Saccharomyces cerevisiae S288C: one gene and its partners. Changing the gene in region 2 together with the main gene of any one other region gives a genetic interaction. Each region holds a gene or a part of one and is shown on either strand. Other genes may lie near its edges.

What was found.
Region 1: mutations in YAR066W (region 2) and LEU3 together harm fitness more than expected from each alone (negative genetic interaction), as found in Saccharomyces cerevisiae (one large-scale study listed by BioGRID).
Region 3: mutations in YAR066W (region 2) and ULS1 together harm fitness more than expected from each alone (negative genetic interaction), as found in Saccharomyces cerevisiae (one large-scale study listed by BioGRID).
Region 4: mutations in YAR066W (region 2) and CSS3 together harm fitness more than expected from each alone (negative genetic interaction), as found in Saccharomyces cerevisiae (one large-scale study listed by BioGRID).

Annotation. Positions count from the first base shown.
Region 1 is NC_001144.5:1,034,420-1,041,612, reverse strand, and holds LEU3 (leucine-responsive transcriptional regulator LEU3), read right to left. Parts: upstream 5,521-7,193; coding exon 2,860-5,520; downstream 1-2,859. Other genes in the region: GTPase-activating protein SST2, read left to right, coding at 247-2,343; hydroxymethylglutaryl-CoA reductase (NADPH) HMG2, read right to left, coding at 5,849-7,193. UniProt on the Saccharomyces cerevisiae protein: Factor for control of RNA levels of a group of leucine-specific genes.
Region 2 is NC_001133.9:217,083-224,531, reverse strand, and holds YAR066W (uncharacterized protein), read right to left. Parts: upstream 3,484-7,449; coding exon 2,872-3,483; downstream 1-2,871. Other genes in the region: YAR068W (uncharacterized protein), read right to left, coding at 1,641-2,126; YAR064W (uncharacterized protein), read right to left, coding at 4,035-4,334.
Region 3 is NC_001147.6:689,242-700,571, reverse strand, and holds ULS1 (translocase ULS1), read right to left. Parts: upstream 8,098-11,330; coding exon 3,238-8,097; downstream 1-3,237. Other genes in the region: THI72 (thiamine transporter), read left to right, coding at 5-1,804; SPR1 (glucan 1,3-beta-glucosidase), read right to left, coding at 8,540-9,877; IES4 (Ies4p), read right to left, coding at 10,598-10,948. UniProt on the Saccharomyces cerevisiae protein: ATP-dependent helicase involved mating type switching and in silencing interference through its interaction with the silencing regulator SIR4. Cooperates with UBC4 and UBC5 to mediate ubiquitination of SUMO conjugates.
Region 4 is NC_001147.6:14,420-21,811, reverse strand, and holds CSS3 (Css3p), read left to right. Parts: upstream 1-4,015; coding exon 4,016-4,531; downstream 4,532-7,392. Other genes in the region: ENB1 (Enb1p), read left to right, coding at 501-2,321; YOL159C-A (uncharacterized protein), read left to right, coding at 6,307-6,579; YOL160W (uncharacterized protein), read right to left, coding at 7,158-7,392.

The DNA of each region.
Region 1 (7,193 bases), on a different chromosome or scaffold from region 2:
TTGAAACAATGATCCCAATACTGCTTTTTTTTTGACTAGGACTTGGATTTGGTTGCTGGTGCGTTAGAATTGTTGTCTGTCCTGTTATATTTATACCGGTGAATGAAATCATAATCCCAGCTCTGTCTTTACTTCTCATCGTCCTTTAACTTTGGAGGTGTTACTGTCGTACGTTCCTTCTAGGTTTTGCACGCACTATCTGAGGCGTTATAGGTTCAATTTGGTAATTAAAGATAGAGTTGTAAGATGGTGGATAAAAATAGGACGTTGCATGAATTATCTTCCAAAAATTTCAGCAGAACGCCGAATGGACTGATCTTTACCAATGATTTAAAGACAGTATATTCCATTTTTCTAATTTGTTTGGATTTGAAAGAGAAAAAACATAGTAGTGACACTAAGTCTTTCTTATTAACTGCATTCACTAAACATTTCCACTTCACTTTTACATATCAGGAAGCTATTAAAGCAATGGGACAATTGGAACTAAAAGTGGATATGAACACAACTTGTATTAACGTTTCATATAATATTAAACCTAGTTTGGCGCGCCACCTTCTTACATTATTTATGTCTTCTAAGCTACTACATACACCGCAGGACAGAACTCGTGGCGAGCCAAAAGAGAAAGTTCTTTTCCAACCAACACCTAAGGGAGTTGCTGTTTTACAAAAGTATGTTAGAGATATTGGGTTGAAAACAATGCCTGATATTCTTTTGTCATCGTTTAACTCCATGAAACTTTTCACTTTTGAGAGAAGCTCTGTCACGGATTCAATCATCCATAGTGATTATTTGATCCATATTCTTTTCATTAAAATGATGGGCGCTAAGCCAAATGTTTGGTCTCCAACAAACGCAGATGACCCATTACCTTGCCTATCTTCGTTGTTGGAATACACTAATAATGATGATACATTTACTTTTGAGAAATCTAAGCCAGAACAAGGATGGCAAGCTCAGATTGGAAACATCGATATAAATGACTTAGAAAGGGTATCGCCATTAGCTCATCGATTCTTTACAAATCCAGATTCTGAGTCGCACACGCAATACTACGTTTCGAATGCAGGTATTAGGTTGTTTGAAAATAAGACGTTTGGCACTTCCAAAAAAATCGTGATTAAGTACACCTTTACAACAAAGGCTATATGGCAGTGGATAATGGACTGTACTGATATTATGCATGTTAAAGAAGCGGTCTCGTTGGCAGCGTTATTTTTAAAAACGGGGTTGATTGTACCAGTTCTTTTACAACCATCACGCACTGACAAGAAAAAGTTTCAAATTAGCAGGTCCTCTTTTTTTACCTTGTCCAAGCGTGGTTGGGATTTGGTTTCTTGGACAGGTTGTAAGAGCAATAATATTAGAGCACCAAATGGTAGCACCATAGACCTAGATTTCACATTAAGGGGTCATATGACTGTTCGTGATGAAAAAAAGACATTGGATGATAGTGAAGGTTTTTCTCAAGACATGCTTATCTCTTCGAGTAATTTAAATAAACTGGACTATGTGCTAACTGATCCAGGTATGAGATATTTATTCAGGCGCCATTTAGAAAAGGAACTTTGTGTAGAAAATTTGGATGTCTTCATTGAGATTAAGAGGTTTTTGAAGAAAATGACAATTCTGAAAAAATTGATAGATTCTAAGCATTGTGATAAAAAATCTAATACCAGTACTTCAAAAAACAATATCGTAAAAACGATTGATTCAGCTTTAATGAAACAGGCCAATGAGTGCCTTGAAATGGCATATCACATTTATTCGTCCTATATCATGATAGGATCACCATATCAATTAAATATCCATCATAACTTGCGTCAGAATATTTCTGACATCATGTTGCACCCTCATTCTCCATTATCGGAACACTTTCCTACTAATCTATACGATCCATCACCTGCATCCGCGGAATCAGCAGCTTCATCAATTAGCTCAACGGAGGCTGACACGTTAGGTGAACCACCTGAAGTGAGTCTAAAACCTTCAAAAAATCTTTCAAATGAAAACTGTTCATTTAAGAAGCAAGGATTCAAACATCAGTTAAAGGAATATAAACCTGCCCCGTTAACTCTGGCAGAAACGCATTCGCCTAATGCATCAGTAGAAAATTCACATACAATTGTTCGTTATGGCATGGACAACACCCAAAATGATACCAAATCGGTTGAATCATTTCCAGCAACTTTGAAGGTCCTCAGGAAATTATATCCCCTCTTCGAGATCGTTAGCAATGAAATGTATAGACTGATGAATAACGATTCCTTTCAAAAATTTACCCAGTCAGACGTATACAAAGATGCTAGCGCTTTAATAGAAATCCAAGAAAAGTGCTAATTTCATTGAGAGTCTTACTCATCTTCAGGTACAATTGCACAAACAGTCCTTTTTTTTTTCTTTAGTTCTCCTAACCTAATATGTCTTGATACCCATAAGGACTGTAAATACTATTACGTATAAATTAAGCGGAGGTGTGATTTGTTATATCAACTATAATATGATTAAATAAAGCCATTTATTATCTAGTATAATTTCCAATCCTGAGATGTGACTAACGTGAGCGCTTACGAATCTTCGCATCATACACCTGTGGCCAAGGCTGGTTGGCGGTTTAAGTCCGTCTGAAAACTTTTTTTTACGTCATTTGAAGATCAAAAGTATTGAACATATACCTAATGACACAGTTTTTTACACTTTTTTTGAGTTAAATTATTCAAGGACAAAAAATAGTGTGCGTAAATGGAAGAAATATAAACGTATATAGAAAATCATTTACCTCTCCTGTAGCACCGCAGTCATTACATAACATTTTTTCGAGGGTAAGTAAACATTACGCAAAAAAAGAAAAGGACTTTAAACCTTGGGATTGAACGCAAATTCATTCATTAAAATATCAACATCCCTCCAAACCATATCAGATTCCCAGTTATCCCAACCTGCCATGATGGAATTGGGTGATTCTTTGATTGTAGTTGTAACGGGGTTTGATTGAACAATGGGATACGTTTCTAATAGAGAAGAGTTGGCTTGTGTCGCAGGTAGTGTGTTTTCTTGCATTTGTGTTATTGAAAGAGGCGGTTGATTTGCCGGATGTTCAGCATTCCTCCCTATTGGCAGAGGTTCATTGACAGCTTCAGTGTCCTTGATGTCTGTAGAAACACTGGAATCTAAATTTGCATGATTCAGTTGTTCCCTAGGTGACATTTTATTGAGGATTCCTCTATATGATATAGTGTTCGCTACTTGACTATTTGGGGTCGTTAATGAGCTTCCACTGCTGGTAGAGCCTGCATTTATTGGATTTGGGTCTAGCGGAATTGTTTCAATTATTTTTCTTGCTTTCTTTTCTGGATGCCTTACATTGGTGAATTTCCTTGTCCTTAGTTGCTGGCTATCCATATTTTCTGGAACTTTACTACTTAGTTCTTCTTCTTCTTCTTCTTCTTCTCCCTCCTCATCTTCATCTTCCTCTTCCTCTTCATCAACATTGTAAGCTGTAGAAACCTTGGTCTCTCTCTCCAATTTGGCCATACCACATTTCTCTTTTAGAATATATAAGCAGTCAAAAAAAACGTTTACTGACATCCTAGATTTTATGGTGATGCCTAAATTGAAATCATTATTTAGTCTACCTCCACCTTCCTTTTGGTCGTTTTTCCAGGCATCATACATATTAGCAAATAAACTCCATATGCTTCGCATTATTCCGGATGATCTGTACGCCATATCATATTTTAAAACTGAGGCATTAAACGTCAATGAAATTGCGTTGTTATAAGCTTTTTTGCCTGAGTTAACATCTAGCATTGAATGAAGTGATGAATGTATGAGTTTACTAATAATACAGGCAGATTGCCATATATTCAAGACAAACAAACCAGGAAAGTACTTAATAATGGTAGGATCATGTTCCCACATACTATTGGCATGTATAAGAAAGTTTACGGCGGCATTATAAACTTTCACCAATCCACGTTTCGTTTCAAAACTTGTATCGAGTTCCATAATGGAATATGATCCCTCATAAATATTACCATTTGATTTTCCAGCACTTTGGGAGGTAACATCAGTGAAGTAATAGGTTAATAAGTGAACCTTGGCCACTAGTAATAAAAATTTTCGGATATCATCTAGGTTATTTTCTTCAAGACTAATCTCCAATTGACTTAGTTGTTGATTAAGAACGTGTAACAAGGGCTGCTTCTCTTCCTGACTTACCATCCCAGTAACACTCGCCGGGGTGGAGTTCATTGTGTTTACGATTTGGTTCTCAAATCTAGCAATTTGAGCCATTTGTCTTAGTTCATTGGGTATATCTACTTGGCTTTTTGAATTTGGTACTCTAATAGAGCTGATTACTAAATAATCAAATGAAACATAAGCTGGGAAACCAAATGATGATGCAACTGTTTGAGATACAACATTGCAGCAAATCCAAGTTCGTATTTGCTCGTTAACTAATTCTGAATTTGCCGAAGCATACTCTTTTGAAAAACCTGCACAATTTAGTCCTACCCGAAGCGCTTGGAACATCGCTGTTCCTATGGTATTCCACGAAGTGTCGGCGCTTAATGAAGAGGTTAAGGGAGGCCAGAACGTGTATAAAAGAAATGCTTGCACGGAATATACAGATGCTACATTTAGAACGGGTTCGTCCTTATCTGATGGAGTATATCGAATTATTGGAGATATTGTGATTTCTGATAAAACTGACTTTACTAGCACTGATAATCGAGTCATTAAGTCTGTAGCCCCAAATTTCCGCCTTAAACCAATGAGCAGGATGACCCAGAATAAGCAAGGAGATAAGTGATAAATTCGCTCTGCTCCTTTCGAAAGGTCAACGACGGGTAAAAATTGATGATATTTTGTCGCAAATTCTTGAAACAGCTCAGCAATATCGCTGCTTGACAAATATACGTCGCCCAGGCTTTTTGGCAAGCACTTAAGTTGATCATCTGTCATAACGTTTGTTGAGTGAACAGGGTCGAAGTTTGTCGACGAGCTTAAGAGCGTTAAAGGAGAAGAATCCGTATGTCTTCTGTTGGTACTGTAAGAAATAGGTTCTCCTCGAAGTGTTTTGTATGATCTCGGTTCTATTTCTGTCGTCTCAAAAGCACTCTTCCTGAGTTGTTTTACTTTTTCTTTTGTGAAATTACTGTTATCCAAAACAATTTCCTGTTCCTCTTCAATTTTCTTCAAAATTTCATCCGAAGTTAAATTTGTCAAAGTTCTGGTGAGTTCCTTGAATCTTTTTTCAATGGCTTCGTTCCTTGCTCTTTTATAAGTTCTTCTGAAATCTCGTTTTAAAATGCATGGGACATTCTTTTTAGCACACTTAGTGCATGGCTCCGGTGCTCTTTCGTGAGCATCACATTTCGACTTCTGCTGACGACATTCCACACAGGCGAATTTCCTTTTCCTAGCATTCATCCCAGTTCTATTCCTAGTTTCACTATGGCTCATTTCACTTCCGGACTGTGAAGTCGCCACAAAATCTGATCTTCCTTCCATAATTGCAAAAAGAATTTGTATTAATGTTACGAAGCGATTTTTACTTGAGGCAGGTTGAAGGTTCCTCAAATTGCCGATAGCCCCTGAAACCTAGTTTTATGACCTTATATATCATGATACTCTTCTATTGTTGTGCTCATTACTTTTCATTTTTTGCTCTGAAAAACTTTGAAAAAGCGCAGTGCTAGGCGATAAATTAGGCGGCACCTCCGATCGAAGAGAGGTTTTACGCAGCGAGTCATTTTGATCAACTTCTTATTACATGCAGATGATTTAGAATAGCTAGACAATACAAAGATATAAAGTATCACCATGTAAACTACAAGAGTTATAATAATGCTGAGGTTTTACAGGGGGGCCCTTTGTTACTTGGTTGTGGCAGTTCATTGGCTTTGTTTGTTTTACGGTTGTGAGTCATATGGCTTTGTACCAGGTGACCGGCAGCAAGTGCGGAGCACAGAGACAGTTCACCAGCCAAGACAGCACACGCGATTATTCTAGCTAATTGCCTAGCATTTGCTCCAGGTTCAGTGGGGTGAGGACCACGAACGCCGAGAAGATCAAGCATGGCGCCCTGAGGCTCCAGAACAGTACCCCCGCCAATCGTACCAACTTCAATAGATGGCATGGAAACAGAGATCCTTAAATCACCATCAACTTCCTTCATCAAAGTTATACAGTTGGAACTTTCGACGTTCTGCGCAGGATCTTGGCCTAATGCCAAGAAAAGTGCAGTGACCAAATTAGCTGCGTGCGCGTTGAAACCACCAACAGATCCAGCCATTGCGGATCCAACCAAGTTCTTGGATATATTTAATTCAACTAAAGCGGAAACATCGCTCTTTAAAACACTTTTTACGACATCACCAGGAATAGTAGCTTCAGCTACGACACTTTTACCACGACCTTCAATCCAATTGATTGCGGCAGGTTTCTTATCAGTACAATAGTTACCAGATACGGAGACAACTTCCATATCTTCCCAACCATATTCTTCTACCATTTGTTTCAAAGAGTATTCGACACCTTTCGATATCATGTTCATACCCATTGCGTCACCGGTAGTTGTCCGAAATCTCATAAAAAGCAAATCGCCTGCTAGACAGGTTTGAATATGTTGCAAACGTGCAAACCTTGATGTAGAATTAAAAGCTTTTTTAATTGAATTTTGTCCCTCTTCCGAGTCTAACCATATCTTGCAGGCACCAGATCTTATTAAAGTAGGGAAACGAACGACTGGGCCTCTAGTCATACCATCTTTGGTTAAAACAGTTGTTGCACCACCACCAGCATTGATGGCTTTGCAACCACGCATAGCTGAAGCCACTAAACAACCTTCCGTGGTTGCCATTGGTATGTGATAAGATGTTCCATCAATAATTAATGGACCAATTACACCAACTGGTATTGGCATATAGCCGATGACATTTTCACAGCAAGCTCCAAAAACGCGATCATAATCATAATTTCTGAAGGGCAATTTTTCGGAAACTAAAATTGGCGATTCAGCCAAAGTTGAAAGTGCCTTTCTCCTAACTAAAACCGCACGAGTTGTGTCCTCTAATTTTTTCTCTAAGGAATATAATGGCAGTTTACCGTTGACGACAAGATTCGAAACCTCAGTATTATTCATGTTCTTTAATTGTTCTTTCTCCATAAGTTCCACTAAATTC
Region 2 (7,449 bases):
TTGTTCATATCTGTAAAAGCAACTCCTGCTCCCAGTACCGTTTCTTTCCGTATTGGAAACGGTCACAGCACCGGTCTTGTAGACAATACCCGAGTTTAGCTAAATGTCACTTGGGCACTTTCTAATGACATTTCCAGCCAAAAGAAGTAATTTTGCTCATTTAAAAAAATAGTTTGCCATATCACAAAACAGTCGGTCGGATAATATCTCCTTCCAACAGTAGGAGAATGGAGGACCACACCCTTGTGGCCATCGTTGTTTTCTTTGGGAATGGTGAACCTTTCCATGTGTCGTTGTCTGTAGAAATGGTGTTCGTGCTGCTTCTTTCATCCACTAGAATTCATGAGGTAGTAGTTCTTATATGTTATAAACTTCAACACGCCACCTGGTCTTGGGGTAATATGAGCAAGAATTTCTCTCTTAAACCGGATATAAGTCTGAGCTTTCTGTTGGATATAATTTCTATAAATGATATATGCATCTACGGTTGCATTGCCCTTACAGTTGTGTTTATTTTATAAATCTACGTTTAGTATAAGAAAATTGTATTGTCGAGTCTTAGCTGAGTTCATATTTATTCAAAAAATTGGCCTAAATGTTATGTCTCTTTCTCGATCCATGAATTATTAGCAACACCGAGAATTGCAGCAGTGATGCTTCACATTAATGCATGTTCCTCCCTGTTGCCTTTTGGTAAAGTCATGGGCATATGATTACTCCGGGCGTCGCGCGGCTGAAGGCGTCTAAAATAAAATGTTCAAAAATGATATTAACTTTCTTATATATCTTAGACCTGCTATTTCTTTCTTCTTTTTTTTTATTTTGTATTCAATTGGTTTTCACTTTCTCGAAACGCAAGGCTTAAATAAATCAAGGACAGATTCGATAGCTTCTTTTGGGACAGTCAGCTCTTCAGAGGTAATTGCATGACTTCATGATTCGCGGAATACGAAATGAAAAGGGAGGTCCGTTTGAGGTAACTCAGTTCTTTACGAATCACATGCAATATTCAGGGTAAAAATCCAAGTTATCTAATTTTTTTTAAACTACCTTTTTCTTTTGTACATCACGTTTCACTATATATTCTACTACATCTATTTTCGGCCCAAAACTACAGCATTTGCAGAAACAAAACGACGCTTTCTGTTCCTGCTGATAGTATTCATGACACATTCCATATTGCATGTTGCATTTAAAACGAAGGGCCAAGCCATGGTCATGTGATTTCCATGTGCGGCAACTTCAAGACTTCTTCTTTTGGGCATAGGAAGACATTAAAAATATTATTTATGCATTATTCTTATGTCGGCTAATAGATTCAAAGAAACCCACGAAAAATTTACCGACCGCGCGAAATAAAAGTAAATGAAAAAAAAAAAAAAAAAAAAAAAAAAAAAAAAAAAAGAAGAATGTGTCTATCTTCATAATGGTGCCTTCGCTAAACCATCTTTTCTGACGCTTTATAGTTCGAACACAGCATTCTTCAACCGCGTAAAGTTAAAATCACTTGAATGTTTACACTGACGTTTATATATTAAAATACTTTCTACTTAGTTATTTTTAGGAAAGTACGGTTACGCACTCATTTTAAAAAAAAGCAAGGATGAAAATACCTGCCAAAGTACTTAAAGCATTGGTTCTCAAACCAGCAGCCATACCTTCGGATTGAACGACAATACCAGTGAAGGTGCTGGAAGCAGCAGTATGAGAAGTTGGAGCAGCAGACTTGGTGACTGTGCTAGTGGCCAATGATGTTTGTTTGGAAGCCTCGGAAGTGACAGTCTTGGTGTTACAGCCGTTGTCGTCACAGTGAGTAACGGTAACAGTAGTGTATGATTTTGGAGAAATGGTGGTTGCTGCAGTTTCTTTAGAACATTCAGAAGTGACAGTCTTGGTGTTACAGCCATTGTTGTCACAGTGAGTAACAGTAACAGTGGTGTATGACTTGGAGGAAACGGTTGCAGTTGCGTCGGTAGCAGTTGGTGCTGGAACATGGCATCCGTTTTCGTCACAAGATGTGATGGTGGCAGTGGTAGATGAGCATGGGACAGTTGTGGTAATGGTGTAAATGTTACCGCTAGCGTCGGTTGTTTCTGAACAGGAAACCACGACTGTACTTGTGGCATTCAAGTAAGTTAATGTAGTAGTGTAGACAGAAGCGGAACCTGAGGTGAAGCTGGTGGCGGATGCAGCGGATGCAGTAGAAGTAGTGGAAGCGGTGGAAGCAGTAGAAGCGATTGAACCAGATGCTGTAGTGGAGTTTGAGACACCAGAGATAGAGGCGCTAGATGAAGGAATTATTGAGTCTGGGGCGCTAGAAGAGATCGTAGAAGAGACGGTGGTAGAAGCGTTAGAGGATAAAGTGACTGAACCAGTGGCAGTAGAGACAACACCAGAGGTAGTGGATGCGGATGTGGATGCGGCGCTTGTAGCGATGACACCGTCATAGTTTAGGTAATATGAGTAGGCGCCTGCGAAGATTCCTTCGGAGACACTGAAGCCAGAACTAGAGAATCCAGTACCAATTTCAAAAGAGAATTGTCTGTTACCTTGGGTTGCAGTTAAGACACCAGTAGTACCGTCGTAAGAAAGAGCAGTGATGTCGGCGGTAATGGCAATTTGGTTCTTACCGGTGTAGCCAACAACAGGAATAGGAGTGGCGTTGGTTTCGGTTGGGTCAACGGCAAGAACACCTTCACCCTTGAATACAACAGTTTGGCCAGTAAAGGTGTCAGGGTAGTGCAAGTATAGGTTACCAGAGACGATGTTGATTGTACCGTTTCCAGAAACTGGTTCAACGATAACATAGGTACTTCCATTGTCTAGGTTGATTTCACCGTTATTTACAGAGCCTTCATCGTCGTCTCTACGTTACAAACCGGAAACAGAACCACCGTTGAGAATAGCATTTGACAAAGAAAAGGTACCAGCGTTAGAGTATGGAGAAAAGGTGACTTCACCCTTCTTGGCCTTTGACAAACTCAAAGAAATGTCACCGCTGCTCTTGAACGAGCTAGGTGTGAATGAATAGATAGATGCGGAGACAGCGCCAGTTTCTTCAGCACTGAAGTTACCGGAAACTTCAAAAGTCTCACCAGAAACGTCGAACGCGGTACCTTCGTAGCTTGCTTCAGACTTTTCGACAACCAAATCACCGTGAACTTTTAGATCAGATGAGAAGACGTATTTTTCACCGTCAAGTAAAGTCAACTTACCACCGGCAGCGACTTCCACGGCCTCGGTTGCAATTACTTTACCAGTAACTGTGAGATCACCGCTAATTGTTGTGGATGGCAAATAAACGGTACCGTCACTGGAAGAAAGTGAGTCGGAAGCGGTGGCACTTGCACTAGCTGACGAGACGGAAGTGATAGAACTCAAGTCTGCGGAGGAGGTGCTATTGGTGTAAGAGTCACCGAGAGCGCCGCGAGAGAGTAGGGCCAAAGCGACAGCAGCTTGGAATTTGTTAAAACGATTGAACATCTCTTTTTTTTTTGTAATGGGCGAGAGTTTACCAATAAAAAGAAAGAAATAGTAAAGCTTGCAAAGATGAAAACTTGGACTGCTATTATGAGAACAAGAGTGAATATGACGATCCAGTGACAATGAAGCATATTGAAGTACGATTTACCTGCTTTTTATATACTTCTTCTTGTTACTACTCACGGACTCCTAACCCATAGCTATAGAGCCCGAAGCTACAGAGACCGATGGTGTGCTAGATCAGAATTTTTGTGCATGCATTTCTACGAAGAACATTCTCAAGCCCTGTAAGGCTTGTACGCGCGCGTTTGCCAACAGGGAACGAGGTGCTAATTTGCAGACCAACACATAAGCAATTGGCCAAAACAACAACAACAACAATAACAATAGCAGCAGCAGCAGCAGAACGCGATTCAGCCTGGCCAGATTATTGTAGAAGAGGCACGCGAAAACAAGAGCGGGGAAGGGGCAAGATTGTTTGTTACGTGGGCAGACGCTCAGCTACTTTCTATACAATCCCTACTCTGTGAGGTGCTTATTCAAGCAATGATCTATAACTTTGGCTCAGAACAGATCATACGCCAAAAACAGAAAAGAAAAAGATAGCTATGTCCTAATGGAAGAGACAAGAAATCTTTGCGGCTACCCTCGAGAGAGTTAGTGCACGGTTTCTCCGTAGCCGCGAAATGCTTCTTTTCTGTCCCTGAAGCGCACGGCTGCGTAATCTCACTGCGACGCGGACGGCAATTGTTTTCCCCGGAGACGTGGCTGACAAAAGTCCCTGTGAAAGAAGGCGCTCGCTCTCTTCCGTGGGTCCCTGCTATATAACTACAGCAAAAATCAATCAACATCCTATTCCTGACGAGAATTACTCCGTCTCGTTAAAGAATATCTTTCCAGCGTTTTCTAAGGAAACGCGCAATGTCGCTCGAACTACAAAGACTGAACCTTTGGGTTCCATTATAAATTCTTGAACTTGTTTCATACCCATATATAAGCGGTGCAAAAGACAAAAGGGAAAAACAAAAAAAAAATGAAGAAAAACGGACAAACGGATAACCGGCACCTTCTGTACCACTACATCGCCCGTTTTCGCCAGCATTTCATCAGCACAGATTAGATAGTGTATTCCTACCTCCAACTATCTTATGCTTGGTTTGAATATTTTGGCCCAGTTTCTCAGGTCTTGCTTCCAGGCGCACCCAAAATGTGGTCTTGGTGTGATTGTCGTCACCTTGCCATCCTCTCTCAAATAACGTGGTTCTTGGTAATCTTCTAGACACTTTCCATAGTTTCAAGTCACGTGCGAATTGGCATGTTGCAGAGATTTAGATGGCTATATTTCCTCAAGTTAGCGCATTTGGCTTACTTGATCAGGCGCTTACGAGCTACATTTACGCCTGTCTGTATAATTTTGTTTCTTGACGATGGGATTCTCATAAGAAAGTCCAGATTTGTTCGCAAGGTTAGACACTTTTAGCAGCTAGTGCGTGGTACTTGTAGAATTGCGAACCGGGCATTACAAAACAAGCCCTTTTTTAGCGCTGTCAAGAGCAGAAACTGTAAGTATGCCAGAGTTAGTTGCCGCCCCAATGCTCTTTTCCTGGGCCAATTCGAGAAGTTGAACAGCTTTGGATATTACTGATAAAGAGATGTTTGCCTTGGGGGGCTACTACGGTAATAAGCGTCTTGTCGCTAATGACATGCCAGCAATCACTAAGATTGTTTCGCTCTCAGAAGAACCAGAGGTGGAACTACTGGTTTGAATGACGGATGATTTAGATGATTCAGAGAATATAGAAGTGGAGGTCGTTGCAGAAGAAGAAATGACCGAGGAAGACATGACTGAGGAAGAAACTACAGAAGTTCCATTGCTGCGATAGAATGGAGTAATAATTGGATGCTAAGACGTGATAGAGCTGGTGATTTGTTCTGAAGAAGATGATGACAAACTGGATGAGGTGGCAGTGGTTGGAGCTTTGGCAACAATAACGGTTTCGTCAGTTGGTTGACCATTAGTACCGGTGACGGTGGTCATTTCAGTAGATGTAGAAGTAAAAGTACCAGTCCACAGTTCGGTAGTAGTTGTGACGATGCTAGTAGTATGTTTTGAAGGATCAGGGATAGTACAATTTGACTGACTTAAATCATCGTCAAAAGAGTAAACGTACCCTTCAAAGTCATCACTAACAGTAGTACCATCAGGCAATTCCACGCTAATTGGAAGCGTGCCCCAGGAAACGGCATTGGAGTAAACAACCTTCAGCGGATAATAGTAGCCTGCATACATGTAGACAGTCCCTCCGATGTTATCAGGCAAACTTCCTTGCCATGGCTTAATACCATTGATTGTAAAATCCGTCGATGTAATTGGAGGTTGTTCTTGTGCACAACATTCGAACGCAACGTTACCACCGACTGATAGAATTGCAGAGTCATCGACCTTAGCAAACCTGAACGTGTAAGAACTTGTTTGTGGTGGTAAAAAGTAACCTGTCATTTCTAGAGTAGCGTTTTTTGGGATAGTAAGAAACCAAGTAAATCAGTACTCCAATAGGTCTTTCTTGGCTATTTTGAACATTCACTATGACCTCTGCATCCCCAGTTTCCATAAGCATCTGATTGAGCACATTTAAAAGTTCCTGAAGAGATAACACAAGAAAGATCGTAGTCAATTGAGAAATCCGTCTGTCCGCCAACGGAACCTAATTCCAATTCGAGGCATATCCAGAAGTCATATATTGCGGGTAGGAATACGTTGTTGAATCCAGTAATGAGTATTTATAAAAGTTGACATTCATCCCATTTTTCCTCGGGCCCACTGGCAGGCATGCTTGTGTACTTCCTGAAACAACATTGGACGTGGCCAGGTAGGTGAAGAGTGCCAAAAATAAATAGTGATAAGGCATTTCTTGGTTCGTCAATCAGGTATGGGTATATTAAACAATAACTTTTAGCCATGCTGTTAATGATGAAAATTTTGATGCTGGTCTCTTCATATGTCATTGTTTTGGGAACTGTCTTTTTTCGATCAGATGTATGCGCTACGATTTGTTTAGCGTAGTGATGTTCCTGCGCTGTATTTAGGAAATTTTGGTATCGAAACGTCCCTACAACACTTTTTGTCGCTGATATCTGCACATGCGAGTAACGCCGATTCCATTACATTATTACCTTCCACTTCCCAGAAACGATTTATTACGACTCAACAAGTTCAAGAAAAAAATTAAAAAGGTTACAACCACATTTTGCGTTTAGGTGCAGCGAGGCTTACCTTGATGCAGTCCTAAAGAGTCCTGCAGCAGTTGTAACGAATCCTATTTGCTTTTATGCATTCCTAAACGGGCTGAAGTATAAGTCTTGAGGAACTCCGGGAGAAGATACGATAAGCTCTGAAGTGCCAAATTTTATTATCAAAAAAAATATTTGTACAAGCGGAAAAGGAGTATACTCTTCCTCTTTTGCTTCATCACAAGAGGATCATTTTGACGTTGTCTGTTGTACTACTTCTTTATCGGCGTGCGCAGGAAAAGAAAGAAAAAGGAAGGAAAAAGAGATGTCAAAAACCGATGTCAAAAAATCTCGTGAGGCCTCCGGAATTTTGACGCTGCAAGTCAATCTACGGGAAAGAAGAAATTTTTTAAACTTAATGCAAAATAAGCTTTTTTCTTGGAAAATAAGATTTTCGGCAATAAAAGGTAAATGCAGCCAAAAATCAAAATACTTCAGAAGAAGTCGTAGCGAGGACTGCTACGTGGAAGCGGATTTGAAGATCCTTTCCAGAACAAGAAGGAGCCGAAAGCTGCCAGGAACTGTTCCTGATTTTTTAGGAAAACAATTAATAGGTATCTCGTCTAGCGTAGTATCTCGAGTTTCCAGAAGTTGCAGATAATCAAAATCATTGTTTTATCGCTTTTTTTAAATTACAGCTTAGAAGAGTAGAGAGCAAGTTTACTGAAACGGTTC
Region 3 (11,330 bases), on a different chromosome or scaffold from region 2:
CATTATGAGTTTCGGTACGAGAATCTCCAGGGCTTTGAGATTTTTGGAAATTCCTGTTAAAAATAGGGCCTCCGTGAATTTTTTAAGGAACCCTGATTTGCAACCTATCAAGTCTGTTAATCAAACGTGGGGGTTTTGGTCTAATTTTGCGTATTGGGGTGTTCTGTCCTTCAACGTTGGTATGTGGATAGGCGGTTCGTCTGCATTAACTGTTGGGTTAAGTTACTCAGAGACCATCGGTGCGTTTATTATTGCTGATTTGTTGACCATCCTGTTTGCTTTAGCCAACTCTTGTCCTGGCTATGACTGGAAGGTCGGCTTCACTCTAGCTCAAAGATTCGTCTTTGGGATTTACGGTTCAGCTCTTGGTATCATTATCAGAATATTGATGAGTATTGTCTATTATGGTTCCAACGCTTGGTTAGGTGGGCTTTGTGTAAACATGATATTAGATTCTTGGTCTCACCACTATTTGCATCTGCCCAATACTTTGTCCTCGAAAGTTGCCATGACCACCAAGGAATTGATCGGCTTCATTATCTTCCATATCCTTACCGCGTTCTGTTACTTTATGAAGCCATACCATATGAACTATATTTTAATTTGGTCGTGTGTTGGTACTTTCTTCGCCATGTTGGGTATGGTAATTTACTTAACTAAGAGCGCACATGGTGTTGGTGACTTGTTCACTTCTACTCATTCCACAGTTACTGGCTCTAAAAAGGCTTGGGCTTGGGTTTATACGATCTCGTACTGGTACGGTTCTGTTTCTCCAGGCTGTACCAATCAAAGTGACTTCTCCAGATTTGGTTCCTCTAATTGCGCTATCTGGACTGGTACTATAGTTGCTTTACTAATACCAGCAACCTTGATCCCAGTATTCGGTATCATTGGTGCTTCTGCTTGTGAAAAATTATACGGTCAAACATTTTGGATGCCTATGGACATCTTTGACAACTGGTTGACAACTAACTATTCTGCAGGCGCGCGTGCAGCTACATTCTTCTGTGGTTTTTGTTTTGTAATGTCTCAAATTTCATATACCATCTCCAACTGTGGGTTTGCCAGTGGTATGGATTTGGCTGGTTTATTACCGAAATATGTTGATATTAAGAGAGGTGCTATTTTTGCCGCATGCGTCTCCTGGGCCTGTTTGCCATGGAACTTTTACAACTCTTCTTCTACTTTCTTGACTGTTATGAGCTCTTTCGGTGTCGTAATGACACCTATTATCACTGTCATGATCTGTGATAATTTCCTCATCAGGAAGAGACAATACTCCGTTACCAATGCCTTTGTTCTAAAGGGTGAATACTATTTTACCAAGGGTGTCAACTGGAGAGCTATCGTTGCCTGGGTGTGTGGTATGGCTCCCGGTCTACCTGGTATCGCTTGGGAAGTCAATAATGACTATTTCCACAACACTGGTATTATAAATTTTTTCTATGGTGATTCTTTCTTCTCCTTTTTGATTTCCTTTTTCGTCTATTGGGGACTATGCCTCCTCTTCCCATTCAAAATTACTGTCAAACATGATGACAAAGATTACTACGGTGCGTTTACCGACGAAGAAGCAAGGAAGAAGGGCATGGTTCCATACAGTGAAATTTCTGAAGAAGAAATCCGTGCTTACACATTAGGCGAATGCTTCACAAGTGGACACGAATACAAACCTGAGAGCTCCGATGATGAACTACCTGAGTTGACAAAAACTAGTTCAGAAAACACAAAAGTGTTTGAAATTGTTCATCAGAAAGATAATGAAAAGGAATCCTCTACTTCCAGTGAAAAACAAATTGCCTAATGAGCAAAAAACCTAATAAAATGATCATACTTAGTGTTCATTCAAGATCTTTCGCTAGTATTAAAATTCGAGATAATTAAACACACTCTTTAGTCCCAGGAAACACTACTATTAAGCTTGTTGGTCGTACAGGATATAGAGGTCATTTCGATTATTTCATTCTTCCACTAATGTTTGATTGACGATTCAGATCACTGTTTTTGTTTGGCTGATAATTGTAACAAGAAAAAAAAACTACCGCTTCTTTTCAGTATTTCTGTTGAGGATGATATTTTCATTGATTCTCTTATCAGCTTCAGTGCCGATATCCTATCAGGCTCTAGTAGGGCTGAAAATTAGGTGGAGGCGATTTTGTTACTCTTTTGTTCAAGTCTGAGCTTATGACGTCCTGCGACATACTTTTCTTATTACGTACTTATGATAAGTACCGGTTGCCTATGAGAGGAAATCGAAAGTCATTAAATCAAAAAAAAAAAAATAACTTGCATTGCATTGTGCGATTAAAGAGCAAAACTTATTTGATAAGAAACCTTTTCTAGAGCATCTGCGCCACTTATTTGAGAGGTCAAGTCTTGTTAGTGAGAAAGCGCGTGAAGATAGAAATTATAAATTACCAATTTATTTTCAGTATAGCCTTAGAAAACACAAAGGCACATGGTTGTATAGATCTATATAATGCACTGACTGTACCTTGTTGTAAGGAAGTTAATAATAAGCAACCTGTTCGGGCTGAAAATCCAAAAGAAAAGTTGACGGTCTATTAGTGGAACAATGAATTTGAACTTTACATATAAGGGAATGTGTCTTTACTTTGATCTTACAGCGAAAATTACTGAAATCACAGTTTACGTATAAAGCACCCCCAATCCACGTGTGTTTTATACGCTTCTCTTTTATAGGAATATAAGATCAGCTTTGATTATTAATTAATACTGTCATTTAATTGCCAGTTATCATCAAACGGGATATTTTCATCGGTTCATTAATGTATGGTAGCTGTTGCGAGCGTATAATTATACTGGCGTTTGAAGATTACATATATGATGAGAAACAAAAATCAAATTTAGTAACAACTGTTAACGATGCAATAATGAGTTAAAGCAATTAACAGGAGGGGGAAGCAATTATGTTATTCGTGGCATTGTTGATAATCTTTTGTGGATTTCCAAATCCAGGAGACGAGCTTCTTATATTGTATGTTACTAATGGTATTTTCTTTTTCAAAAAGTAATTCAAACGATCATATCAAATTTCGCATATTTCTTATACTTAAAGTAGGGCCGATTTACGGCTTATTTTCTGTTCCATTAAATGCCAAGCTCGTAAGTGCCAACGAGTGAAGTTACTTAAGCCTACAAACTAGAAGCTTAGCCACCAATTATCAACATATACATATGTGTATCGCAATAATGCTTCAAAATTCACCAAGTTCTTCAAAGAGCGTTTAAACCAAATAAAAATCCTAACTCCCGACGCCCTAAACTATTCACTTCCTTTATCTTGCCTGGGTCCATGGCAGAATCGACCATTTCCTTCTTTCTCTTCTGTAATTCAGAAATACGATCCTCAACAGAGTCCTTTATAAACAATTTATGCACCTGGACTTTTTTTGTTTGACTAATTCTATAGCAACGGTCTTGAGCTTGTTCTTCGACGTAAGGATTCCAAAATGGATCAACTATAACTACATGGTTCGCACATGTCAATGTTAGTCCTGAGTTACCGGCTTTCATGGAAATCAGAAGTATCCTTTTCTCAGGGTCACGATAAAATTCGTTGATAACATCTGATCTTCTCTGAGCGTTCATTGATCCAATATATTTCAAGTAGGGAAAATTCAGTTTATTTTTGAGAAAATGTTCGAGAATCTCAAAAAATGTTGTAAACTGGGAAAAAATAATAATTTTTTCGGTTGCTGATTCATCAAAAACTCTTTGAATAACCTGTATACATTGCTCTATCTTCGTAGATGGTTCTAAACTCTCAAAATTTGGCACATATACATTTTTTTGCTGTATTTTTTGTTTCTCCATTTCACTTAAATACTCTGCATGCAAATCTTCCTCAGTAAATCCCTGGTTTATTACCTGGTCGTATAACTTGTGCGAAACAATATCTTTCTCGTTTGTCAAACGTTGACAATCTTTGCATGGGATAGCAAATGCCCCACCTTTGGTTTTCTTGGCCTGAGGTAGCATGGATGACTCTTCGATGAAGGGCTCGATACAAGTGTCGCAAATCAAATGACCACAACCTGTCAGAACGGACATCGCTTCTGGTTCTAATTGTTCCATGCACCAGAAACATGTCATAGAATTCATTGAAGTAATAACCTGAGCCTGCGCTTCTCCGCTCATGTGAGTGATTTTATAGTAGAGCCTGAGCCAGTCATCTTCAAAGCTTTTGCCGTTAGCTACCTTTGTACCTTCCGCTTTTTTTTCTCCCATCACAACTAATTCTGAATGACAACAAGCCTGCCTTAAGCGAAGTAGTAATGTGAGAACGCTAGAGTAGCTCCCCCTCGTAGAATTGTTCAACAATTTCTTAGCGAGTGCTTGATTTTTTGATTCCAAAGCTGTGTAAAATTTTAATTCCTCTCCCTTCAGGCGTGATTCATCTACTTCCACAATTTTAGGAGGGAGCTCCAGTAAAGGTTTGCCGTCGATCTTATCAGCCTTAGACCGACGAAGCATAATGGCATTTAGAAGGACTCTAACCTTTCTTAATGCGTTTTTTCTATCCTCGTTATCATATTGATATTGCTTATTTCTCTGAAAAAACCTTCCAATGTCTAATTTAAACCGTTGCTCCTTGTGGTAGGGTGGAATTCTTAGAAATCTTATCAAGGAATAAAGCTCATCCATACTATTTTGAATCGGCGTACCAGACAAGACCCACCTATACATTCCATTTATAGTACAGCACGCTTTAGAAGCCCTTGTATTTTTGTTCTTGATGTTTTGGCCTTCGTCCAGTAAAATTCTGTAAAACGTTGAATCATTGCAGAAAAATGGAGAGTAGTATTCATTTGAGGTTTTCAACCTATTAAGAGCTTGTATATGAGGCACAGCTGGTAGCTGATTTTGTTCACCATCCAGTTTTTTCGGCCAATGTTTCTTAAATTCGTTTGCTAGAGTTTGATAAGATACCAAAACAGCATCATATCTTGCCAAATCCCTCCAGTGCTTAACTTTTCCGTTACCTGATCCTCCAAAAATAAATGTAGTAAATTTTGCGCGTTTTTTTACTTTCGTTTCTAATTCACCTTTCCAAACTCTCAAGACTGAGACTGGTGCGACGATCAAATTGGTTTTACATTTGGATTCCTCTGAGCGATTTGCTAACATCAATGCAATAGCTTGAATCGTTTTACCCAGGCCCATATCGTCAGCAAGCAGACCCCCTTTTTTTGCGGAGTTTTCAACTTGTAACAACCAATGCAGACCCAGCCTCTGGTGTTTTAATAAGTTTACGGTCATATCCTCGGGAGTAAGTGCTTCGCCGTCTATAATGGATTCAGATTGTTTGACATTCTCTAAAAGAGCCCTAATCTGTTCTTGATCTTCTGCTGCATGCATATTAGAGATGTGAAATTCATCTTGCATCGATAGATCATTGGCTGTAGAACTAGTATCTTCGGTATTTTCCACGATGTTCCAGTTTGAAGGAGGTCGTTGATCTGCGTTTACCGGAAATAAATAGCTTTGCTGCAGTAATTCTTCACTTGTTATTGGAATCTTATATCTTCTCAAATTTTCATATAGTCTGTCCATCTTAAGTCCTTGTTGTCTTAGCCCAACAACAGCTTTTCCGACGCCTTCCCTTTTTAAAGGAGTAGGTGGAAATCCGGTGTCAATATCTTTACGAAATTCTTCAATTATATTCAAAAATCGAGTAATCTTTCGTTTAGCATCCTCTGATCTAGTAGACTTTGATATGAGATCGCGTGCAACTTCGATGCTTTTAAAATATTGGGCTCTTCTGTCAGGATTGACAATGGCTGGATTAGAAAACTTGATGCCGTAATCTTGTAATGTTTCAAAAACAATGGGCATCTTTACACCGTTGGTGAACAATATTTGGGCCGATTCATGTGCAACGTGTCTTCTGTTTATATCTATTAAGGATCTTCCGTCTTCAAAAAAGTTTTTATAAGAGACCAAGTTGTCCAAATGTCTATAAAGAATTCTCTTCGTCATTTCTGTCCTGGATGTGTTCTTGGCTAATAAATCTTTTGCAGTATCAATGGACTTAATAAATAAATCTCTTTTGGCGAGAGGTTGCCGTACTATTGGCAATACACTATTGATATCAGTTGTGCGTTGGTCCCCCAGTTTCAAGTCATTCAGTTTCTGCTGGATCTCCCCTGTTAACTGCTTGTAGGTACTGAAGCTTAGGGTTCCTTCTTTTAACATTTGGTCTAGCTTTTCTTTCTCAGCCAGGCATTCGTTTCTTTTATTTACGGTCGCAGAAGCTTTACTATCCCTGGCTGACCGCTCAAGGGCAGCCAAAGATTTCTGCAGGTTTATATTTTTCGAATGCACAAAGGACTTCCATTGTTCGTTATAATTATACATTTTCAAATTGATTGAATCTAGCTTCGATTTTGTCAACTGTCTTTTTTCCTTCAGTTTGTTTAATTGGTTCTCAGCTTCATCAACTAATATCTGCTGAGTTGAGCTGATAGTTCTTCCCCCTCTAGCCATCGATGTCAACAATAACTGCCAATGTTTTTCAGCATCAGAGACCTCCTTTTCTCTTCTACTTAGTTTCCTTCTTAAAATTTCAGAGTTTGTCTTGCAGCAACTGAGAGCATTACGTAGTTCAGACTCTCTAGAATTCAAATCCTTCAATAATTTTTGATGATTTTTTTTTAGAGTATCAAGTGAACTGTTACATTCGTGTTGAGAGGATTGAGTAGCTTGTTCTGTCATGATAGTTCCTTGAAGAACTGACGAACTCGAGGATTGTGCGTCTGTTTCTGATGTAGGAATTGAATTGCTGCCACTTGCTTCTTTTATTACTGAGTTATTCAAGTCAATATTGGGTAGGTCAAGTAAAGATATGACTTCTGGTACACTGCTCCTAAGCGCATCAGCTGTATTTGGTTCAGAAACTTTCAAAGGACTTTCTATATCATTGATACCGGCACCAGATTCGTCCTCATCTGAAAGAATAATAATCGAGCTATTTTTCTGTTCGGAATCATGTGAATTATGTGTTGTGTGGTCCATATTTTTTGAGGGCAATATCGGTCTTTTAAGTATCTTGTTATCTGCAAAATCTCCGCTATGCTTCCTTTTAATCTTACGACCAAAATCGCTAATATCGACAGGTTGTTCACTAAAGTGCTTGAATAGTTCACTTTGTTCTTGCTCAAGTAAGGCAACATTATTTTGAAGTCCTGGAAGACGAACGGTCGTCTTCCCCTCTACTTTGGCCGTCTCGTTTTTAAGGGAACTCTCAACAGAGCTTAGATTGGACGGTAATGCTGGCGTTCGCTTTTCATTTACGATGTTAGGTATAGTGTTTTTGGAGTTATTTTGAGTTTCAGAATCCTGGAAAGCACTAGATTCAATAGGTAAATCACGATAACTTGTTGTTGTGACTCCTTTTATTTGGTCTTTGTTTTCGCTCTTCAAACTGTTATCTTTTGTTTCTGGGTCGCTGAACTGTTGCTGTGACGGTTTGTTATTCAAGTTTAACTTCTCCTCTTGAAAATCCAAATTGCTGTCCTGGCAAGTATTAGGCTCGAAATCATCTTCAACGCCATCGTAGTCTTTGGAGACGTATGAGGAAGAAATGCCACAGATATTTTCCTTCACTTGCTCATCCTGATTTATTCTTTTACCTTCCTCTTTTTGTTTAAAACTATCGGATAACGGCACATCATCGTTTTCATAAAAAAGTTTTATCATCTCTGCGCTTGGGCTGCTCTCTTGTGTTTTCTTCTCATCGTTGGAAGATCCCATCGTTTCTTCCTTCAAGACTTGCTGCTGTTTTACTTCGTTGGAAGATTTTTCATTGTTGAAGGTACTGTCTGTGATTGTCTTGCTCTTTGAAAGAATAGTATCGAAGGTTTCATTATTTGATATGTTCGTCTTGAAAACATGGAATGCTTGACGTGCTGCATCGTCATTAGATTGGGCGACTTCCAAGCCTGCCATTCTTAATTTCCCATTTTCTTTCCTAATGTCTATCTTATCCACACTTGTTGAAGACGAAAAAGAATGGAATATGTCTTCATTATCTGAATCGGCTAGTGTAAGGTCGATGGTGGGTACTGCTGCCATTTGACAGATGTTTAACCTAAAGATATAGTCCAGCGTCTCCTTTCAAGCACTCAAAAGATAGATGTAAAAATCGGTATAGACGCCCTGTCCTGTTCTTTCATAAAACTGCGGAGAGGTTTGTATTTATTTATTGTTTTTCTTCCTCTCATATTCGTTACATAGTCTAAGTAAACTGTCCGGTAATATCGAGAGTGACCCGTGTCTCGTGCTTCTCTTCCGCCTCACGTAATATCAACAGGTAATCATCATGAGCTCCCCATTCATAGTTCAGATAAAAAGTGAAGTAGCGGTTGATGGAAGCACTTTTATTTGCATAATTATAAGATATAAAGTATTTTTTATTTGTATACCTCATCATGTTATATAAAGAGTTTTAGATGGCAATTTTTTCTCCAATAATAATCATCACATTCCCAAGACCTTAAATATATGCCACAAAATTTCAATGACATTGGTTAGGATATTTCCTATCGTTGATAGGTTGCGGAAAAATGTTGAGTTGAATCAATTTTTCAACATCCCATTCGATACTATTCTCTGTCTTGTAACACCACATTATCCATCCACCAGTCATTTCAAAAGCATCTAATTGAGCCTCGATAAACTTTCTAGTGTTCTGTTTTCTCTCTTCGGGCCACAAGGCAATATTCTCGTTGTTTGCACACGTATTTATGTAATGAGATTTTTCATTGTCTTTGGTCCAACTTCCATCATATCTGGCACCTAGACCAACCCCATTTAACCACTTTGTACAATCTGTTAAGGCCGCTGAAAATTCGCCTGCTACGGACCAATGCTTCTCGCTTACGGCATCTTTCCCCCATTGGCAGGCGATTTTGATACGTTCATTCATTTTTCTTGTTAATTCCACCTGCGAGAACACCTGATAATGATGATGGTCAATTATGACGCCATATTCGTTCTTTTCATCATTCAAAAACCCATCCCAATAATGGTAAGGTTGAAAAGCATCATGTATTACAATGATCTGGTTGCTATTAATTTTATTTCTCAAATAGTCATAAGCCGGCTTCAAAAGCAAATTTTTCAATCTTTCCATGTCAATAACTGGACCTAACGGTTCATTGAGCAATTCGATTCCAATAACGGTGTCCAGGTATACGTCTGTTGAGTATTTGCTTAAAATATACGTTAAAGCTTTCATGGTGGCGCTTAAATTTTCATCTTCCAGAAACTTATATGAATCCCTCAACCCTGAGTTATCAAATCCGTTTTGTGAACCAGCGGCTCCATGAAGATCAATCCATACTTTCAAACCATATTTCCTAGCCCAATCGATAGCCCGGTCTAGAAAATATTCCTGCTCGGCGGTAACATAGGGATCATGACTCAACGTTGTAAAGGCCCAATACCCAATAGGAATTCTAACCAAATTGAAGCCTTGAGAAGCAATTTTCGCGAAGTCTTCCTCTTTATAGAACGTCGACCAATGACTATAAAGGCGTTCCTTTGCCTTTTCATAGCCTAATTTTTCACAAAAATGGTATTCATCAACAGGAATACCGTCATCGTTGTACGGATTAGTACGGAAAGTCTCGAATAAAGAAGGTGTAATATACGGCTCCAATACTAGCCACCCACCCAAATTGACTCCATGAATTTTTTCATTGATGGCTTGATTGTTGATGGCAGAGTATATACTATCCTTTTCTTTATAAATAAACTGTATAGAGTCCCTATTTTTTGTGGAAACAGGATTACAGTTTACTAATTTGGTAAAAAGTAGTGTTAGTGTAGTCAGCCCTCTGAACGAAACCATTTACTTCTAAAGTTTATAAAGATTTTATGCGGAGCACCTCAGTCTTTCTTTCGAATCTTTGGATGGTCTGTTCGCAATTGAACAATTAAAAGAGAAGGGTAAAAAAAATAATGAATGTGAGGTTGTTCTACGCATGGAAGTTGCTACAAAAGGGGTGGCAACTGATGGAAAGACTTTTTACACAAAGATTGACAGCATTACTGACAAATTTCTAATGAACCAGACGCGCCGCTTCTTTTAGTGTCGTTTGGTAACCGCTTTTTCTTAAGCTGGCAGAGACCGCCAAAAATAAGAGAGTCGCTTGTAGTGGGACAAATAATGAACAGAGAGGCTTTTTGATACCAGTATCGTTGAGTTGGGAATGAAATGAAATATAACGATGCAATCGTCGCCATTCCTGTCAGAATATAATCGACGGTCATGTTATATAATTGTTTTATAAACGCCCACTTCTTGGCTGTATCTTTTATAATGTCCTTTTTTCCTGAAGAGGGTTTCCATCTAATTTTCTTTTACAGTCTGTAGCCTTACTTCTGGCCCTTTAACTAAATACATTTGATTTATATTGCATATTTACTCATACAATTGTATATTTGTTGTTCTTTTTTGGTCGGCTACCAGATTTAGTACTTAATGTAACCAATTTGTGAATTTCATAAATGACGTGCCAAACTAGAAAGTGTGGGGCCCTGAGAACAACTTTAAGCTGTTGACATTACCTTATGAGTCCAGTCCATCCTCTCCTTCTTTTTCAAGTTGTTTTACTTCAGGATCCTCATCTGCTGGTTCTTTTTTCCTTGTAGCTTTGTCATCTGATCCTTTAACGTCAGATGCAGTAAACTCGCTTCCCCTTTGACGTTCTTCTCTTACGTCTCTTCTTATCCAGCCGGTGAAATTTACCTTATAACCACTGAAGCTCTTGATCTCTATGGCTTTATTCTTGTAATCCCACGGAAGTACAGGTTTGCTATTATCTCTCGAATTGGCAGAGGGAGGGCTTGTATCCTCTATTTTAGGGTTATTGGCTAGTTGTTCTTGCGATTCTGATAAAACACTACTTTCTTGGGACATACCACAATTACTCGAGAAATTGGATTTATCTTCCGGCCAATATAAGTAAAGAATGTGTTGGCATTATAGTACATTTTGTTGATATCTTTAAAATTACTTGGATTATGAGAATGATTACCCGTCAACTGCTTGGTAAAGTTTTAACGTTCAAGAAAAGCTCTAGACGGCGTAACGCACCTTTTGTTATGAGCGTTAGAAAAATTAGTGACTAAGAGGATGAGATGATAAAATGCATATGATGTTGAATATGGAAAATAAAATGTTATATTCTTACTCAACGTAACCTGCCATTTGTAGGAGTTAAAAATTATGTAGTAGACTTAAATCTCTCCTTATTGTCCTAAATACTTGTAATTACATACACATATATATGTATAAATAT
Region 4 (7,392 bases), on a different chromosome or scaffold from region 2:
AAAGTCAAATTCAGGAGAATAGACAAGCCTACATTTTCTGTAGTTCAAAACTTTTTATGGTTTGACTTTGTTTTTTTTTTTTTTCGTTTTTCTTTTTTAGTTGAACTAATGGGACCCTCAAACCTAAAATTTTCCGTTTTCGTTTAATCCTCGCATCATATATACCAAATAAGGACACAGGGTTTTCAGTGAGCAAATGTAAGGGTTTCTATGGATTATAAGCCCTTCGGATCAGAAACAGGGTTCCGTAGTTTGGGCAAGAATTGCCCTTAGTCCTGAGTCAACTGCAAAAATCTGTTTAAATTATTGCACCCAAATGTGATACAAATGTATACTATTATAGAGGCTGCCACGGCTTACAATTGCACCCCTCTGTGGCTTTTGAGTGGCGAAGGGTCTATGTTTGGATAATAGAGATGACTTATTTAATTGAAATGATGGTTTGGGTCCTAGCAGAACTCTAATATAGCAAAAAAGTGCTCGTGAATGTCTCTCTGAAAATGCTGGAAACTGATCACTCTAGGAATGACAATTTAGACGATAAAAGCACTGTCTGCTACAGCGAAAAGACAGATAGCAATGTTGAGAAGTCTACCACGTCTGGCTTGCGCCGTATAGACGCTGTCAACAAGGTCTTGTCTGACTACAGCTCTTTCACAGCTTTTGGAGTTACGTTTAGTTCACTCAAGACCGCCCTACTGGTGGCTCTGTTTTTGCAGGGTTACTGTACTGGACTCGGAGGGCAGATTTCGCAATCAATACAAACCTATGCCGCTAACAGTTTTGGAAAGCATTCTCAAGTAGGATCGATCAATACCGTCAAATCAATAGTAGCCTCTGTTGTCGCAGTGCCATACGCACGTATATCTGATCGGTTTGGACGTATAGAATGCTGGATTTTTGCGCTTGTGCTCTATACTATTGGAGAAATTATTTCTGCTGCTACTCCAACGTTTTCCGGACTTTTTGCAGGTATTGTTATACAACAGTTCGGTTATTCTGGATTTCGTCTTCTTGCTACAGCACTGACTGGTGATCTGTCTGGATTGAGAGATCGTACATTTGCGATGAACATATTTCTGATTCCCGTGATTATAAACACATGGGTAAGTGGAAATATTGTTAGCTCAGTTGCTGGTAATGTTGCACCATATAAATGGCGTTGGGGCTATGGAATTTTTTGCATCATTGTGCCCATCTCCACCCTAATATTGGTCCTTCCCTATGTGTATGCTCAGTACATTTCCTGGCGCAGCGGTAAGTTACCACCATTAAAATTGAAAGAAAAAGGACAGACCCTGCGTCAAACGCTCTGGAAATTTGCGGATGACATAAACTTAATTGGAGTCATTCTTTTCACTGCTTTCTTAGTTTTAGTATTATTACCTCTCACAATAGCTGGTGGAGCCACCTCCAAATGGAGAGAGGGTCACATTATTGCAATGATTGTGGTTGGTGGCTGCTTAGGTTTTATCTTTCTAATTTGGGAATTAAAATTTGCTAAGAATCCATTTATCCCACGAGTATATCTAGGTGATCCAACCATCTACGTTGCATTGCTAATGGAATTTGTATGGCGTCTAGGTTTGCAGATTGAGTTAGAGTATTTGGTCACCGTGTTAATGGTAGCATTCGGAGAATCAACATTAAGTGCGCAGCGGATAGCTCAGCTTTACAATTTTCTACAGTCATGCACTAATATTGTTGTCGGCATTATGCTGCATTTCTATCCTCATCCGAAAGTCTTTGTAGTCGCTGGGTCGCTTCTTGGTGTCATCGGAATGGGTCTTTTGTACAAATACAGGGTGGTATATGACGGGATTTCGGGTCTTATTGGCGCTGAGATTGTGGTCGGTATAGCTGGTGGTATGATACGTTTTCCTATGTGGACGCTAGTGCACGCTTCAACCACCCACAATGAGATGGCAACTGTCACTGGGTTACTAATGTCCGTTTATCAAATCGGAGACGCAGTAGGTGCTTCCATCGCTGGTGCTATATGGACTCAGCGTCTGGCAAAGGAGTTGATACAGCGACTCGGCTCTAGTTTAGGGATGGCAATCTACAAATCACCACTCAATTATCTAAAAAAATACCCTATTGGATCAGAGGTTCGTGTTCAGATGATAGAATCCTATTCGAAGATTCAACGCTTATTGATAATTGTGTCCATTTCGTTTGCGGCTTTCAATGCTGTTCTCTGTTTTTTCTTGCGTGGCTTTACTGTAAACAAGAAGCAAAGTCTTTCCGCAGAAGAACGAGAGAAAGAGAAGCTCAAAATCAAACAACAATCATGGCTCCGTCGTGTAATTGGATATTGAGCTGGAGAGTACTAGCGATACAAATATAGTGTTAAGCTCTTTCCTGAACTAGAATTCTCTTTGAAATAATCACTGTTAATGTAAGTAGTAATCAATAATGGCGTGTAACAGTATAATATTGTTGTCTGAAATAAAAAACAACAAAAAGTTCGAATTAGTTTTATTTTATTTTTCTTTTCTAACTAAGTGAATATCCATACGTTTGTTACGTTTATTTCAGCAATATTATAGTCTTAAATGGGCTTGACAATACAAAAATCAATGAGATTATTCGCACCTGTCATTTCCCGTAGTTTTTATAAAGAAATATAAAAAAAAATGTTGCGAAGAACTTTTACTAGAGCGTAAACGAATTAAAAAAAATTAGTAGTGTAAATATAATCACCACCTGCCGTAAGCCTGCTTGAGCCCTTTATTATTTAGTTTTAGCTGTTGCTAACCTGACTTTCATACTTCTTATAATTGACGTCATAAAAAATATTCAAAGTTCGAAAGAATGAAGAAAACATTGACCGACTTAAAAGAAGCAGTAACCCCACGAAATTTTAACCAGTGCTGATTGTGCGAGAAATCGACTCCAACAGTCTCAGATCAGAGAATATATGAAATATTAGTGGCCCCATACTTATAATGGTTCGCTGATTAATGTATAACAAGCGTGAAAGTATGTATAGCTGCACGGATTGTAGATAGAGCTCATTTAATATTAGGTATTTTGCCCATGTCATTTTTGTGCAAGTCATTTTCTCCTTTGGAACTAAATTTTCTTTAAAATATCTCATATACAAAAAATCCTAACTCACAAGTTAATGTTTTCCATCATAAGTAGACGTTTATTTAAAACATGTTATTATATATTGATCCACTCTTTGCAGTGTCGTTTTCCTACAAAAATTAGATACTTAATCTTGAGGAGTGTAGAAATAAGTGAAGGCGACATAAAGATAGAGAAACAGCCATGAAATTTAGTGAAAGCTGACACTCAAGAATTAGGAATGTAATAAGATAATGAATCACAACATATAAAATGGAAAGTGAAGTAATAATACTATTCTATAGAATAATCGACGATCCTTCATGAATTGCTATATATCTGAGGAGAACTTCTAGCATATCCTGCATACCTAATATTATAGCCTTCAATAATAATGAAAATCCTAACAATTATCCAATTATTCACCAAATTCTCTATTTCAACAGTAGTATTATGGCATTGATTATATTGCAAGCTATAGATTCGATTTCATGAATTCATAACACTCTAAAAGAGAACTTCTGCAATACTCTGTACAAATAACATTATTACTTTTACTAAAAATAGATTTCCGGACACTAACTTTTGAATTCTTATCAAAGCAGTCGAATGCCGCGTCCTACGGTTTATGTATATAGATTTAAAAATACACGTTAAAGACTGTTTTCTCCATAATTCTTGTTTAATATACCTATGAACATAAGCGAGTCAATCAAACTCGGGAGTAAAATGCTTTAAGGCACGCCGCTTAACCTTTTAAAATACATGTCTGAACATTATGTAACCAAACTAAAATTGCTTTTAAATGGATCCGCGCAATATCTAAAAACATTAACTATAAAGGATAAAAATTTTGGACAAAAAATAGCAGTAGCATGTTTGCTTCCTAAGCGTTTGAAGTCAAAACCATTTTTAAAAGGGTAGAGAGGCTTAGTAAAAAATGGTTCCCTTATTTGGTTTATTTTGCATTTTTTCTCAATTGTACTCATTATGCTCCGCATATGTTGATATCACCAGCGGTTACCAAGTATTTTTCAACTTGCCAACTAATATGACAAACAATCAAATATGCTGGCTATTCCAAGCATCTTACTATGATATTTATTCTGATAAAAGTGGTAGAACACTTAGAACGGGACGGTTTGAACCCGGCGATCAGCAATCTTTGATTTATAGGGATACCTTAGTTGAGTTGGAGGCTATTACAGATTCTTATGAGTACAGTAACCTAGATCTATCGACTTATAACGGACCTGAGCCATATAATTCTGAGACTGATTATTGTACAGATATAATGGATTTGGTAATGCGTGTATATGATGAAGAAGGACATTATGTTCATCCAGTTGCGAATAACTCAACAAATGCTTGCGCTCATCCAACTCCTCCTACGTTAAACAATCTATTGATAAGTAATTATTCTGACGGAAGAAATTATAAAGAGTCTTCTATATAATGGTGTAGTAAGGATACTGGAACCCTTTTATGACACATTTAGCAGTAAGATACATTTTTGGTTGATGTGATCAAGATTTTTTAGTTTGTAGATTTATTATATAGCACTGGGACATCATTAACATCGCACTTTCGAGTTAATGTATGTATACACAACATCGAGGAACAACAGCATCTAGGGTTAATGACATTGTATTGTATACTTTCGTTGTGCTAGTGGTGGCGTGATGCAAGAAGCTGATACATACCTGAAAATGAAAGAGGACGTAGCTATACGGTGTTTGTGGACGAGTTCACATACAGTACTGAAAAAGATGAGGATGGGCTGAGATAAAGTTTGAATGATAATGAATATTATTACATCTTCTTTCATTTTATATACCGTCATTCATTATCCCATGAAATTATCAAGCCTCGCGTTTCAACCTCTACTAAAATCGTTGACTGTTTCTCAATATTTATGTCTTTCTTACGTTGTATACGATAATATACACGTACTATGGATACTAGTCGATATATGATAGTTAATTCTCATTCCAATAAAAGTCGACACTACCGCTACCACCTAAAGTTATACTGTTTTTATGCGTGCGTACGCAACAGTTCATCAGAAAAATGTCTATCGTCAGAATCATCCCTCTGACATTTCAATTCCAAAAAGATTGCTCTATCTTTGGAAAGTGGCTAAACCTAGGAGTATTATAAAACTCACAAGTTCTTAGAACTTGCTTCGAGAGATCATAACAGGACAAGTATAATACGAGACGGAATAAGATTATCATACCAAAGATACAAAATAAAACAATTGGTAGTCTAAGGTGACAAAATTAACTGAAGCTGTAGCTAGCAATAAAAAAAAGATTCAAGATGTTCAGGGAGTGACGTATATTCCAATGCTTCCAATACAGCAGGCTTCAAGATTGTTGCTTCACTTTCAGGGCGGTGATTTGAAAGCAAACTCCCAAATTTACACTTAATTCTTCTCCTGAGCTGTTCAATGCAAAATGCACAAATTGTTATTTCCCATATAATAATTCCAGTTGACAGCACTATATCTAAAGGTTTCCGTATAATGATGATTTACCGCGTAGTATCATATAAGGGAGTAACAACAGCATTAATTATCGTGCCATTACTAAAAATAACTTAAGCATCAAGCGTAAATTATTGAACTCCAAACTCTATCAAACACTTAAAATAAACCAATATTGAAGAAAATTCGCAATATGTTGTAAAGATTCTGCTGACTAGAAATGGCAGGTAGGATTTTTTTTTTCTATCTAAAATGGTAAGATGAGCATTTTTTACTTGGAACGAGTGTAAAAACAGCAAGGTTACAGCCACATAATTCTCTAATAATACTGATGGAAAGCCGTCTTATTCGGAAGCTGTGAGTATTTTTTTCGTTGATTTGTTGCCAAAAAAATCCATGCAGAAGTGTACTCACTGGTTTTCATTTACCTTTTCAGCAGCACACCTGCCTGCCCCTTATTTTTAACGATTTCTTTCCATTTAGCGTAACTGCTGCCTCGGATTATTATGGTGTTTTTCCACCAGCTCTGCTTAAAGCGTAGAGTTCGCTTGTCTTCTCCCTCCCATCAACAGGAATTTTATTGATCGCGTAATTTCCTACCGACAGTTTGCAGAATGCCAGGTCAGACAGATTAAATATTAAATGAATAGCCCCATAGAATAAGTACTATATATACGCTGCTAGTTTCTTTGTTTTGTCGAGTTTGGGACCAAACCAATACCATTTGTGGAATCACTGCACATATGCAATACTGTGAACTCGATTTATCAGGGCAGTGGCTGGATACAGTATATTGTGAAGAGAATTTCTCCGACTTTGTCTTTATAAAGTTTCTAAATCCTTCACAGTTTGAAGAGAAGATATATTGTTATACTTTACATATCACCAAAAGGACACTAGAAAATAAGAGATTACTTTTGTATTATGAAGATGAATTCAAAAAACATGGTCACGATATTAATGAGCTTGTTGGCGACGGTATAATCTTGCGTTCATGCTGGAACCCTCGACAGTAATCAGACCGAGATTCATGCGTATGCTAGCTCTGTTGTCGACTCAGTAAACTTACAGCAAACCAATGGTACTATCAATCTAATCATAACTGAATTCAATGGTACTACCATTGGCTTTGATACAAACGTTACCAAAATTAATATTCTTGACGCCGACTTTTCTTTTCTTCGCCAACAAGTCAACCAAGAAATGCTAAAAAGAGGAAAAGGGTGTCTTAACGCAAGGTATCGTATCTCGACTGGAGGTTGTACTGATTGCGGTAAATCGCTCGGCTATTCATCTGCACACAATTGCGGTGGAAAGGGCTATTCATGCATTAAAACGTGCACAGAGAAGAATGGTCATGTTTGCTGTGAAGAGTGGTGTGGATCCAAACGCGCTGTCCAAAAAGAGGGATTTGAGAGTGGATGCTGCTTTAATAATCAATGTTACGGTGGCCATGACCACCATGATGAGCTTTAAATAATAAAGTTTAGGTAATATATATAAAGTGGGATAGTATACAAGCAAGAACGTATTAAAATAAAAGCTGGAAAAAAAAGTCACCAAAGCACGCATCTATGTGATGGCTTATTCAATCTTATATAAAGAAGAGCAATAATCTTGGGCTATTTTTGACTGAGAAAACTCTGTTGTTGGCCATTTTTAGAAAGAAGCACCCATTTTTTTTCCGATTTCCTATCCTACTCACCTGGTAATTGTAACAGTGCTTTTTCAGTTCCATCATGTACTTTCGCCTCTTAATACGATTAAACACAGCTTTAGACCAGTTTAAAGAGATACAGTGATTAAATAAGGTGGTCTGCAATAGAAAT